Lepisosteus oculatus: one gene and its partner. Each later gene encodes a partner of the first gene's protein in a complex. Links are inferred from orthologs where the notes say so. Each region holds a gene or a part of one and is shown in the gene's direction. Other genes may lie near its edges.

Region 1 (7,111 bases):
TATTGATTGTGAAACTGAAATATGTTTTTCATAGTGTTCAAAAAGACCCTGAAATGAAAGAAATCCTTGTCACCTCTACTGTATTGAAAGTCTCTGCTTATGTAAGTACATTTTTTTTTCTTATGGTGTTGTTACTTTATAATAGTGAAGTGACAAATTACAAATTTTAAACCACAGAGACATTATCTTCCATTTTCTTAATATAGTTGATCCCAAAAACGTTATACCAATTGTATTCTCCACTACAAAGTTCCTTCAATTTGGTAAATATTTGAGACAGAATGAGACAATACTGTATTTCTGTATGTATTGTTGAACACTCTGGGTGTTTCTGTATAAGGGGGTATAAAAGTGGTATAGTCTTTTTACATAGACTAAATATCTGAAATTCTGACTATATGTAACAGTTTTCATTTAACAGAAAGCTATGGATTTATACAGTATTTTGAAAGATTATTGTTAATTCATAAATTGCATAACATTCTGTCTTTCTAGGATGTTGAAAGTGGATTTAATAATTTTATATTTACGGATACACTAAAAAAGAAGACAAATGGCACCAAAGACTTCTTTAAAGAGCATATCCTAAAACATTTGCCTAAGACATATTCCTACTTATATGCATTGCCATTTTTTAATATTATTATTTCTCATTCATAACTTCTTTTTCTAAAAGTTTACAGGACCTCTTATCCTAAAGGAAACAAATACAAAAATGAAGTGAGCATTTTACCAAGTGTTCTTTTAAATGTCCGCAGGATGACTCTGGCTTGTGTTATCCTTCATGCAAAGATGAAGAACAGACCTTCGCCTACTTCATTGTTGACCCTTTCAAGCGCCATGTATATGTCCTGTACCATTGCTTCGGAGTTGGATTATTTTCAGTGCCTGAGAAAGAAGCAAAATAAAAGGGTTTAAAAGTTCAACATTAACATTCTGGTTTGTTTTCTTGATTACAGTAATACGGATATGCTTTAGACTTCTGTATTAATGTCATTATTTTACTTCAGTACTGTAGGGGCACAAGAATATCCGTAGCTCAAGAGGATAGGGATATTTAATGTAAAGAAGTTTCTTAACTTTCAAAAAAAGCGCAGCAGTGTACACTAGCTGTTGACACCTGTTGAATGTGTTTAAGAAAAGTCAATATGAAAATCTATGTTCACAGAGTTAGTTGAGTATAGACCTTAACTAAGCTTTTACTGTGTTTAGTCCTCTGGTTCATTTTGCTTTTGACTGTACGGAAGTCTGTTGGGTCGACTTTGACTAGAATGTATCTGTTCACTGTTTCCTAGACTGGACCAAGAACACAAAGCTGTACTTAATATTCTGTGTATACTGGTTTTACCAATGCATCCTTTGATTAAAATTACATATCACAACATTTTGTTATATATCTATAAAGTCATTTTCAGCTTCTTCAAGCTTAGTGTTTGCCAACTTATGTTTATAATTAATGTTTCTGCTATCTCCGTTTATCCCTCTGCACTTCACTACATTAAATGTCATCAGGTGATTGCCCAGTCTTCATTTTTGTCTGTCATTTGTTTTTCATCTTATACAGCGTTTGCTAATCCTCCTGTTTTGGTATTGGTTTACACTAGTCAAATATGACTAGTTTTCTTACTGTGCCATCAACTAAATCAATGTTACAAATTAAGCAGAATGAGGTCCTAATACAGGCCTTGTGCTGTAGTACTCCCCTAATTACTTCACATCAGTTTGAATCCTTATCTCTGAATGCGTAGTACCTTTAAGAATTATGAGGAACTTTATCAAAAGTCTGTGCTATTATTGCTTGTTTAAAGAAACTGAATAAGTTAGCTCACACCTGAAGAAGGCTCCACGGCCAAAACGTTGTGTTTTCTTTCTTCTCTTTTCAGCATGGAATAAACCTATTACTTGTTCCATTAAACAAGATAGTTTAGCAAGATTAAATCAATGTCGACTATCCTCTAGAATCCCACTGACACCTAAAATATATACAGTACATAAATATGAAAGATCTGTAGTAATTAAATAAACATAAAACATTTTTAACTTTAGTCTCTTCAATAGTCTTTATGGAATGGTAAACTAAAAGAAAGTATGCCTCAACGGTCCTTTGCTCACATAAAACAAACGGGGTGTAAAATAAAAGTGGTCTCCAGTTTGAGCAAAAGTGGAATTGCAGGTTCAGCTCAAGCTCGTGATGGCATGACAGATTAACTGTTGCCTTTTGCCTTTTGATAAAGCAGTATTGCTCCTCACAAAAGCAGCATGAATATAAAACAATTGTAAGAAGATTTGAGATGAGAAGCTAAAGGCCATAAGAGCATGGAAGCTAAAACTACCCTCAGGCCCCCTAAGTGGGTGGTCCCTTCAGGGCAGGGCAGAGGCACATGAGGAAAAACACTTTGTGATGGCTGTACCTGTTTTTTTTTACAGACAGAAGCCTCCAGTTTACAATGTGGGCCCTTTTATTACTCTTTCGGATGGCATTCATAATCCCTGACCATTTAAGAGCACACATTTTCCAATCGGCCAAAAGAAAAGTGTTTCCTCCCAATGACTGACCTTCAGTAAAAGGTTGTAATAGTGAAAATATCCTTTTCATATGTTTTAAAAATAAATAAAGGACACTTTGAAAAATATAACCTACATGATTAATATAATTCAAAGTGCAAAATAATGATCTATAATTTTATCTCTTTTAATAAACAATCAGTATGGTTTGAAAAGGGTATTGCAGGTAAAGTAAAAACAAGACATTAATGGATCCACAAAAACTCTGAACACAACAAAAATCAAATATAAGCTCAGAGAAAAATGTTTTATTTTCTAAAACAACAACATTGCCAGTGTAAAGACAAGTGTTGAATCCTCCACATGAATTTTCATTTGAACGTAAAATAGAAATTTGTCATATGTTTTATGTGTAAAAAGTTAAACTTCAGATATGTGGGCTGTTTCTCATAACAGACGTGTATATATTTTAAAATGACAGCATATGTAAACTTAAGTATTGGGACTGTGTTAAAAGGGAAGATGCAAAGTAACCTTTTGAAACCATTGTTCATGGTTTTACAGTCTCTGAAAGAGGATTAATAAAGATCCATAATCATTCAGTGCCTTGGTGTATGGGAAAGGGGCAGAAACACAGTTCCTATACATCACTGAGGCGGATTCTTGACAAAATGATTTCTCAATAGAATGAAGAGGATGATTTGCATAACAATTATGGGAACCTTGTAGAAATGGCTTTCATTGGCACTGTAGAGGAAAAACATTATTTCTTAATAAAGAGCCTATATTTTACAATCACGGTTCTGTTTTAATGTGAGATAAATTGGATTAATATTTACTGAGAACCATTCTCTAGAGAAATATATTTATTCTCTTCAAAATCAGGATACAATTTACCGTTTTCTTCACATACTTTAAAGCCTTTAAAAAAAACAGAATATTTAGATAGTTGTTTAGAGAATATATTGAGAATTGTACAGCGGAAAAGGACAGTTAAATTAATTTTAAGTTAAATTAATTTTAAGAATGTAGAACTAGAGAGCAACAACAGAATTGTGTCCTAAAACAAAGTATCAATTGGCATTTAGTTATTATTATCATCATAATTTATGCTGGCAATCGTGTCACTGGTAGAACAGTAGGAGTCAACAGCATCGAGATAGACTGGGAATTTAACATGTAATTAAATGTTTATTAATTCACCTTAGGTTTTTTAGTTGACAAAATCTACATTCTAAGTCTACATTTTCTAAAAGGTACTCAAATTAAATGAACCAACTTTGTACAGTAAATAAAATATGTAGAAGTAGTGTTATTCGTACTAATATTCCGAAATGAGAAAAAAAAACAATTAAGGATTCAATATTTATTGCGTGTCGAAGATGCTATTTTCTAAGCGCCCCTGGATTCAGGTTTTACCTAGGGAGAAAGTTATCCCACATAAAAAGGGATGTTGCGTCTTTAAACTCCCCACTCTCCCTGATTAATGATGCCAAGCTCCGCCTGCTTCTGACTCAGCGATCACATGAGTCATAAAAGTTTGATGTCCCAGCCAAAGTTTCGGACGAAGTTTAGGAAAACTTAGTAGTTTTGGAAAGGCAGTGATTTGCGATGAGCGGCTCGGCGGTTCGTTTTCGCTGGGGGAAATATAAACCAACCCTCTGAGATTTAGAAGTAACCTAAGTAAAACGGTCTGTAACTTTTGTTTACAGGAGGCAGTCGGTGTTGAGGTATGTTTTAGATTATTGACGATCAACAAGTTTTACATTTATAAGCCGACCCGACTGTAACGGCTGCCTTGGACTGGAAACTGGCTGGACGTCGTTGTGACTTTACTCGGCGTCCTTTCTCGGCTGCAAAGTGAAACAAAAAGAACTTATTCGGGAGAAAAAGAAACATTAAATAACACGCGAGAATACAAGAATAAAATACAACGGAGGAATTGGAATAGCTTTTTGGAATAAGCTTTGCAGAGTCTATATGATCCGGGTACTCATTGCAACACTTGGGCTTTCCATGTTTTTGGATTGATTTCTTTTCTTTTTTTGGGGGGTTACCCCACTTCGGGCACCTAAGGTTTTTTTTTTTGTTGTTGTTAGTTGTTGTTGTGTTTGGGAAGGATGGATCCAAGCCAGCACAACCCCCCCGCCGGCCAGCCGATCGTCCATGTTCGGGGCGACTCGGAGACGGACCTGGAAGCGCTGTTCAACGCCGTCATGAACCCGAAAAGTGCCAACGTGCCCCCGTCAGTCCCCATGAGGCTGAGGAAACTTCCCGACTCCTTCTTCAAACAGCCCGAGCCAAAGTCGCACTCTAGACAAGTAAGATTTCCCTCTCTTCCCCCACCAACCCCCCTCCGTCTCCCTGCCCCCCTCTCTTTCCTTGTAGTCCAAAAGTTCAGGCTGAAGTGTGCTGGCATTTCAAAGGCTTTTTATCTGGACCAGAAGCGGATGGGAGTTTTTTTCTTTATATATTTTAACAAATTCCTGATGCGTTATGTAGTTTGTGAGCAGAGGTCGCCATGCTTAGGGCTTGTTTGTTTTTTTCTGCAGAGTCCGGGCAGCGCCTCGGTTTTATTTAAGCATGCCGACCTCCTAATACGTGGTGCGTATCCGATATTTGTAGCTCGGATGGCTCGCTACGTACAAGTTGGTACCCACGTAATAATTTTCACTCCTGCAAGAAGGAGGATTGCCGGGAGTGGGGTGGGTGGAGAAAACCCTGATAAATGTAATCCATTTCACAAGCAGAAATTGTTAGAGCTGGTATTTTTAAAAACAACAACAAAAAAAACATCTTTCAAGTAAAAATATTATTAAAAACAAATATTTTGGGATAACAAATGGGGCTGACTTCGGGCAGCTTTGATTTGTACCGGATCATGTCGAGTAAGAGAGAGCCTACCTTTTAACTTTAATGGAAAACAGACTGTCATAACAAGTCGTGGGCCGTATTTTGACTTCGCCTAAAGGTTTGGAATACATCATCCAAGCCGGGCTTCGGTGTGTGTGGTGCTCGCACACACAACCCGGGGAAGATTAAAGCGCATAAATCAAGGAAGGCCTCTATTTCTGCTCTGACTGAGCTCTCTGGGGGGGGGGGTATATTCCTGTAGGCTCCTAAGAGATTGAGTAAGGGGATACTCGTCTGTTGTACGTTTAAAGACAACGGTGTCTGAAATGCTCTTTCATGCCACAAGCTTAAAAAATAACCTTTAGGTCTCAGTTTTTTTTAAATTAAAGCTTTGTAAATAACGGTAGCTGCTAGGTTTTCGTGTTTAAAAAAAAAAGTGTTACTGACGCATTTCGTATGAATTGCCCCTTAGAATCACACCTTGTTTAATCTTCGCGACTCCCCGCTGAGTCAGTTTCTTTATTTTAATGCTTCGACACTACTGGTTTGATATACACTGGGATCTCGCAGTCTTGTCAAGTGCGCTGCCCTGACTCTTCAGTGTGAGTCACTGATTTGAAGGGAATGGTGGAACAGTGCACACAGCCTTGGGCCACAACTTTCTGTATCCACATCACCCACTGCTTGCAAAGTTCTTCACAAGTTCATTCTTGCTTTCCGTGTCGTGGAAGGTTGGCTTTCACAATGGGGAAACCTTGTATACAAAAATCTGATCTGTTTGAGTTGTTAATGGGGAAACCTTGACTACATAATCAGACAGGAATCGGGAGTTCATGTGATATTCGGTTTCTCTCACATTTAAAGTGAAATGCAATTCGTGTGTGCGAGTACATCTTAAAAGTACTTGTGTAATAGGTCATTTGTGAACCTGTATTCCACTGGAATTATGACCAAGGTCGTGGTATAATGACCTGCTCCCAGCTTTTAAAGCTTGCAAGTGTTAACGCGTCTTGCCAACCCCAAAATGATGAAATTTAATTCAGTTCTGTGAAATGGGAATGAGGTGTTGAAAGTTGCAATTATCCCTTGCCTCCCTCCCCTCCCAAACTGTCATTCATCCCTTCCCCTGTGCTTCTCCTTCCTGTCCAGGCCAGCACGGACGCAGGCACAGCTGGGACGTTGGCACCGCAGCACGTCCGAGCGCACTCCTCGCCCGCCTCGCTGCTGAACGCCGTGTCTCCCGGCTCCCTGGCAGGGGTGATCCCGCCCGGGGCGCCCCCGCAGCACCTCCGCCAGGCCTCCTACGAGATCCCCGACGATGTGCCTCTGCCCCCGGGCTGGGAGATGGCCAAGACCCCCTCTGGGCAGAGATACTTCCTCAAGTGAGTGTCGCCACAGCTCCTGATGCTTCTCCAGTCCAGTCCACTCCACCGCACCCCAGGGGCCCCCGTTCGGTTTGGTTTCCTTCAAGGTGCGGCCATTTCATAAATCGGCTATCCACCTTGAATCAGTGCAGCCCACTCCTTGTCAAGCCCGGCGCCACGGTCACTTCCTGTTTGTACAGGCAGGGCTCCCCACCCCCAACTAGATCTAGATAGAGTGTTGTCGTTTGATAGCACTTTTATTCACAAAGAAAAGTTGCGAGCTTTTAATCTGTGGGTACTTTTCAAAAAAAGGTTTGCTGAAGGTTGATCTTTTAGTAGAGCTTGGGAAAAATGCACTGTAATCGCAGCGGAAATTTCACTTAGTCTGC
Region 2 (7,193 bases), on another chromosome or scaffold:
TACTGTAACGTAGCTCTTCTTTCGAGTATTCGGACATAGCGAGACGTCTTCGGGCATCACGACAGCCCGATAGTGCATAATACTATACGTCGAACATCGGTCTCTTAAGCGAAGTAGACCTGCACGTTTCTTTTATTCCTTAATGACAACAATACCGTTTTCATTTGTAATGTTGTGAAATGGTTTTGTTTTCACTGCCCCTTTGGATTTGAATACAACTGTAATTCTGCGGAACACAGCTAAAACGGTTTTTAATATCCAACATTTCCAGAAGGGAAAGTTGTGTCTAATTTGCTTTGTAAAAAACGTTTTCAATTTCCATCTCAAAACCCTTTGGATTTAAGGACGCTCAATGCTCTTGTTTTTTCAGACATTAGATGAGGTTTTCTTCTCTAGCCAGCACACCTGGTAGCCAAACGTTTGCAGCTGTACTGTACGTACAACACATATACTGTACACTGATAACAGAGACAGCAGCACCTCCAAACTAATGCAACAGAAGTTTTAATGCCGAGTTAAAAATGAGACTAATCTTTACATCACATTTCGGTGTCTTAGGGAGATCAAATAATGAGTAGAACAAGATATTTCAAATGGTACTGACCACACAGAGTCTACATCACCTTTTAAATAAAGCTACATGTGACTTCAGTCCACTTCTCCTTCAAACGAGCGCTCTGCTAGCAAAGCAGCTCTCTTCAGGATCCCCCCTCAAGCAGACCACAGTGGGCACCACTCATCCTCTGCAGACCACACAGCAGACGTCGAGTCTTCAGATGACGAAAAAGCTAGCGTTCACGGCTGGGTCCGGCTGGTGGAAGGGGGATTCAGCTTTTAGCTTGATGAATGGAGGCTTGGCTGAGGCAGGACTGGTGCACAGCTGTGTGGTTGGGAAGAAGAAACCAACCTTTGGGGCTATTCCTCTCTTCTTAAAATTGACATGGTTTTCCCCTGTCATACTTATATTGTACTACATTCCAATCTGCTCCCCAAACCTCTGGAATTCTATCCCCAAGGATATCAGAGTCACCTGCCCTGAGTGCGTCTCAGTCCAGACTCCAAACGTTTCTTTTCAGAAAGACTTTAACTTAATTAGTGTCTGTGTCTTCTCCATTTTCTAACTTCTGATGCACTTCTAAACTTTTTCTTTTACGTACTTATTTTGTGATTTGCTATCCTTAAAACGTTTTTTGCACCTACTGCGAAGGCGCTATATAAAGTTAAATTTTATTATTACTTGAAATACCACGGTACAATACTCAGGCTAAACAGACTGCTTGTTACAAGCGTCGTGGTTGTGCTAGTGGCTGAGCAGGGAACTTAATTTGCAGAGAGGAACTCGGATACCTATACTGTCCTGCTTGATCTCATGGTCAAAGTGGTCAAAGTTCACGTTCTGTCAGCTTTAAACATGTGGGTGTGAAAGCCTGCAGAAGATTTCGGTGAGCTGACAGCTTCATTAATTTCTTTAGTGGGCATTGAGAGTTCTGGGTTTTCACCTTGCTGTGGTGTCAGAAATTAACACTCATGAGTGCACTCAAACCTTTGCCATCTGCCATTATGGCATCTCTGCTTTCTTGGATGGCCTGCATCACAACATTAAAATCCCTCCATTTTACAGCGACACTATGCAGGTCATGTATGAGCTCGGGCCCTTCTGACACACAAACACTGGGCAAGATGTTGTGGAAAACCAAGACAGCAGCCCAGGGATGATGCTGCACAGCCTTTGGCTGTCTTGCTAACTGTTCTCTGTGGTTGTAGCTGCTTCTTGTCCCACTCGGCTTTAAAGAAGCTTATAGAGTATCTTACTAAAGAAAGCTACAGCCATAACAATCCCTACCACCGAGGCATTGAAAGAGTGCTTCAGATAGGGAATCAGATGGTGTTCTCAAGAGGTTCTCCTTCAGTACCAGCAGTATTAAACCCTTTATCAACCGAAGATTGAGTCTGGTGTCACTGTTGAACTGTGGGTAGGCTGTCTGAGGTCCACTACAAATCCCTGTGAGGCTACTGTTGCCTTTCTCCTCTTGCCTGGGAAACTTTCTGCTGCAGCTTTTCTCCCCCTCTGTCTGCTCTCGTTTCCTTACCACAGCTCCTATTCTTGCCTTATCATAGCAGTCAGAGACCTCCCTGACCCCAGCCTACGATCTGCAGCTTCTGGGAATGCCACATGGCATTGGCCCAGCATTGGAAATGACATTGCTTTTCCGAAATGTCTCAAAATATCTTCTAGTAATGCAACACTTCAGCGAGCAATACACACCTCGGAGCACAGAAAACTCTGGAAGTGCCAGTCATTCCCACAGCAGTCTCAATTACACAGAACATGATCTGCCCGTGGGCGGCATGGTGGAGCAGTGGCTAGTGCTGCTGCCTCACAGTGCCTCACAGTGCCTCACAGTGCCGGGGCCCAGGGATCAATTCTCAGCCTGGGGTGCTGTCTATGTGGAGTTTGTACGTTACTTATCTATAATAACTACTTAACATCGTTATCTGATAATATACTGTGTTCATGAAGCAAAATACGATCAAAAGTTTAATTGCAATGGGTCATTAGTGTTCTGTCTCCACAAAAGTTACAGTGAGAGAGCTATCAGTAACTGCATCATTGAGCAGTGCTTCGATTTGATGTCATTGATATCATTAATAGTAGACGTGATTGTAGCAGTCATTGTATCAAATATTAAAAGTACATTTTATTTTACATGTAAATGCCTAAAGGGCAGAGATAGGTTAAACTCAGGGGGCTACTTTTACTTAGTTCAGTTGTGAAACAAGGACATGGATACAAAATCAGAGGCTAAAAGGCTAAATTCATTTAGGGTGGACTGAGAAACAGTAAACACTTCCTTACACAAAGAGTTGTTAAAAGGTGGAAGAGGAATCCTAGACAGGGGCTGAGACACAAACTCAAGAAACAGCAGGATGAGATAACTGGATCAACTAGCTACCAACTACTAAATGGCCTGGATGACCTCTCTTGTTTGCAGATGTCCTAATGCTCCTAACGCTGCAGGCGTGAAGAACACAATTTGTTTTTAATTCAATGTTCTGTGCAATATTACCCATGTAATACAGAGATCAGAGGTAAAATGAAAGAATGGAGAAACGAGCACAGATTGATTTGGAACATGTTCCTCTTCAACAATTAAGTAAAATCTCAGATTAAGATTTCAGATTACGCTCAATTGAAACACGCAGGGCTTCACGTGTGAGCAGGAGAGCCTTTAAAATCCAGTCATTTCCGTGCGAGCCAGTTCTCTTCACAGAGGGCAGGAGCTACACTATGATCCGGAGTATCTTCAATTAGCACACACAAAATTCCCGATGCATTCAAACAGCTCTTTAATAGTTAGCCCAGGTTGGCAGGTCAGTGGTTTTATCTGACTGATTTTAACCAGTTTTAAAGAGAGCTATTCCTAAAACATTTCTAAGAGGTGCTTCAAATGCAAATGGTTGAACTGTCATTCCCACTTAAAACTTCCTTTGATTTTGGGGCTGACAGGCTGTGGCTGGAGACGTTCACCTTGGCACTATAGTAGGCCTCTGCTGTGTCTTCTGCCTCTTGAGAGATGTACTGTACATCTTGCTCAAATAACACACCAGTCAGCACTACCGACTTTTTCTTCCCCAAGACCAGACCAGATGTGTTTCACGCTGAAAGGAACATTGGTATTGAAGCCCGAATGTTGCGCCCTGTCCAACAATACATGCGTGACGGACAGAGTGTAAGATTATTTTTTTAAACGAATAATTCCAGGATGAATTAAGACGTGTCTGTCGGCGATTCTGCTTGTATTACATGCATAAAGTAGCTTCTAACCAGGCAAAAGTGTTCTATGTAGCACTGTACGGTATAGGATACCAGTTCACAGTATAATGCTCTTGTGAAAATATGCACTAGTAGCTACAGGACGTTTTCTAACTTCTGTTGAAAAGGTCGGCGCAATCGGACATTTTTTAACTGGCAAGAGATTCTCACTTGACAGCCAAGCGTCCTCCTCAAATCACCAAATGTCAGGGCGGCGAGTACCCCGTCCAGTTAATAAAAAGCCAGCTGCGAAGCACAACCAACCGCGTCTCCCAGTATTGCACAGCAACCGAGATCCTCTTCTTATTTGACACACGGAAGGCACGGGGGGAGTAGAGAGGACTCAATTTTCCCCGGTGAGCGGGGCGGGTTATTTTGAGACGGCCCCTAGCCGCGCAGCCCCGCGGCATGATACAGAGCGCGGCGCGGAGGGTGCGGTGGTCCTCGACTCGCTGACGCCAGGGACGCGAGATCAATCCAGGCAGCGGTGCGCGCGAGCTGCGCGGCGGCAGAAGTTTCGCTCTTCCCAGTGTCGGAGCTGAAGAGCCGCGGACGGGCGGCCGGTGGAGACGCGGAAAACTTTTCTCTCTCTTTTTTTGTTTAACGTGAGTGGCTTTGTTTTTTTTTTGGTGGATTCTGCTTTTTAGTTGGCTTTTAGATTTAACCCCTGTTAATAAATGTGTGTTTTTCGCTTGTCTCTCTCTGAAACGAGAGCTCGTACCTTTATTCTCAGGTTTGCCAGTAACTGCGTTTTAAACCCGTGTCATCCGTTTGTTTTGAAGTGCCGTTCGCCAGCCGACATGCTGCTTTTAAAATTGGTGTATTGGTACAGGGGCAGCGGTCGTGTGTTATTATGTGAAGTTGTCAGATGTTGAAATGTGTTGCCGTTAAAGGTTTAGTTTGCTGTATTTAGCGTGCTGGGGTCTGTATTAGACGACAGCCCGAAACGTTGTCACCCCCTTTTTCCTCGTTTGAAAACTGGAATTGAGTCTTTGGGTGATGTTTTTTTCGGTAGTTCTGTGGTATTCAAATGTGTGATTAGCTAGATTTTGTTAGCCAAGCTGATGAAAAGTTCATTCTAACTGTAAAAGGGTTAAGGGTGATTCTTCATTTGGATTGACACACGAGTTTCTCGGCTCATTAAAATCTTTCAGAACATTTTCAAAAAGTGTGTGTGTGGGGTGGGGTGACAATGCAGACAAGCAAATGAAGACTCCTATGAATGCTCTGTAGATTTAGTTTAGTGTAGTATGGACCTGTCAGAAGCGATGTCTGAACGTTTCCATTGTCGTCTTGGTGCCTTGACGTCATTACCCGGTCGGGATCCGGGCGAACTCGCCCTGTTTCCCGGAGCTCGAGTGGGCTCGGACGCGCTTCCAAGCGCTCGTGGACTTCGCGTGAAAGGGACACGGAGCCGCCGTCCGTGCAATTCGATGCCGTTTAAGATCGTTAAAAAACAAAACAAAACCCGGGCACTTGGAATTGGGGAAAAAAAAAAAGAAATCGCGAAGAGGAAAGGGCTTTGATCATCTCGCCCAGCCTGGGTGTGAGCGCAGGGGTCCCCGCTCCGGCACGAGACGCTTCGGGGATGCTCTTGGACGCACAAAGACCCGGGAACACATCTCGCTGTCTTCGGGGAGAGATCGGATGACCCAGAGGGCAGGCATTCGTCCTTGCGTTTGATTTGATTCTTTGCTGTACATCTTTGACGTCTGGGAGCGCTTTTTTTTTTTAGCGGCAGCTCTCTCTCTGTCGAGGAGTAAAAGCAAATCTGCAGGTACACTGTGGGGGGAAAAAGACTTGCAGACCCTTTTTATGTTTTCCAATAGTTCAGATACGTTCGCTGCATCATTTTAGCACCCCTTGAAGGATTAAATAACCATTGATTTTACGTTTTTCTGACTTCCCTTAAGTTTTTGTTTACCTGCGCGCTTTGCTGTATTCGCCCCTTTTCTATTAGGGTGATCTCTCTGGGTTGATGATGGTGATCAGTTGGAGTGATTTTCCAGATTGTTCCGGTTGAGTTTCTGGGGAGTGTGTGGGAAAGGCGGCCTGCAGGTGGTTTTGTGCCCAGATTGCGGAGTTCACGGCGGTGCTGTGGATTCTGAATGTCAACTCCGAAACCAGAGTGCAGAACCTTCCTACATACTGCGAACGTTTCTGCGTGCTCAAAAATGTTTCTCTTCAATTAAACTTTGTCATTAAACTTACACAGGTGCATAGTATAATGAAAAGTGTTTCTCATTAGTCACTCAGGTGCAGTATATAAATAGGACAGAAGATAAGACAATAGACAGTTACACAATAGCAATAACAGTAACATGTAATAACATAACATAAATAACATGTAATCAAAACTGTGCAAAATTCCGCAAACATAAAATCTAACAGGACAAAAACAGTGCAAGGTAATTTTTGGAACAGTGCAAAAATAGTATGGTTAATAATAGTATGGTTAATTAATAAATATTAAATATTATTATGACCGGTACAGTTTTACTGGGCTATCGAGGGGACAGTACAATTTCGGCTTACATGTGTGTGTAGTGGTGTAGGAGTACAGTGGTTGTGGGTACAGGAAGATGTTAGGAGAGATCATAATATGGTGGGAGGGAGTGGGGGCGTCACCAACTTGACAGCTCTGGGGAAGAAGCTATTTTGGAGTCTAGTTGTGTGCGACTGGATTGACCGGAACCTCCTGCCAGATGGTAGGGGAACAAACAAGTTATGACTGGGGTGAGTGGGGTCAGGCATAATTTTGGTGGCTTTTTACAGACTCCTGGTGTTGTAGATTTCCTGGATGAATGGTAAGACACTGCTGATGATGTGTTGGGCAGTTTTGACCACTCGCTGTAGTGCCTTACGGTCGGATGCGGTGCAGTTGCCGTACCAGACTGTGATGCAGCTGGTCAGTATGCTCTCCACCGTACATCTGTAGAAGTTGGTGAGGATCTGTGGATGTACAGCCGCTGTTGTGCCTTCTTGATGAGACTGGAGGTGTTCAGTGTCCATGTAAGGTCCTTAGAGATGTGAACACCTCTCTTTGATGTATGTGAAAAGGATTTCAGCCCTCATTCAGGAAGGTGTTAACCTTTAAGGTTTCACGTGCTCTGCCCCCTTTTTCGTTCACAGTCGACTCCTTTTTTCTGTGATTTTCGCAAAACTATACAACAATGCATCCATTACGATCTTGTGTATGTAGAATACTTTAAATAGCGTTTCATAAAGTTCCGTTTTTCTCTTGGCGTGCTGTAAAGGCAGTATCGCAATTGCTTACTTGTAAAAATAGGAATTTGTCGAAATTATCCGATACAGTCTTAACACCTCTCGAGGATAACCTCATTTTTTTTTCCTTTGGAAGAGATACTTCAAGATTTAT

The links. The genes of interacting proteins can lie anywhere in the genome.
Region 2: the proteins of yap1 (region 1) and smad1 are in contact, whole or in part, in an NMR structure (PDB 2LAW), measured with the Homo sapiens proteins. The link is inferred for Lepisosteus oculatus from reciprocal best matches to the Homo sapiens genes YAP1 and SMAD1. Residues at the interface, in NP_001123617.1 of Homo sapiens: Glu237, Ala239, Met240, Thr241, Tyr247, Ile249, Asn250, His251, Lys254, Thr255, Thr256, Trp258; in NP_001003688.1 of Homo sapiens: Thr222, Pro223, Pro224, Pro225, Ala226, Tyr227, Leu228, Pro229, Pro230, Glu231, Asp232, Pro233.

Annotation. Positions count from the first base shown.
Region 1 is NC_090700.1:8,374,466-8,381,576, forward strand, and holds the start of yap1 (transcriptional coactivator YAP1), read left to right. Parts: upstream 1-4,035; 5' UTR 4,036-4,235; exon of another isoform or gene 4,236-4,604; 5' UTR 4,605-4,625; coding exon 4,626-4,826; intron 4,827-6,507; coding exon 6,508-6,740; intron 6,741-7,111. Other genes in the region: cfap300 (cilia- and flagella-associated protein 300), read left to right, coding at 35-101, 759-908. UniProt on the Homo sapiens protein: Transcriptional regulator with dual roles as a coactivator and corepressor. Critical downstream regulatory target in the Hippo signaling pathway, crucial for organ size control and tumor suppression by restricting proliferation and promoting apoptosis.
Region 2 is NC_090696.1:27,166,614-27,173,806, reverse strand, and holds the start of smad1 (mothers against decapentaplegic homolog 1), read left to right. Parts: upstream 1-4,170; 5' UTR 4,171-4,419; intron 4,420-6,513; exon of another isoform or gene 6,514-6,550; intron 6,551-7,193. UniProt on the Homo sapiens protein: Transcriptional modulator that plays a role in various cellular processes, including embryonic development, cell differentiation, and tissue homeostasis.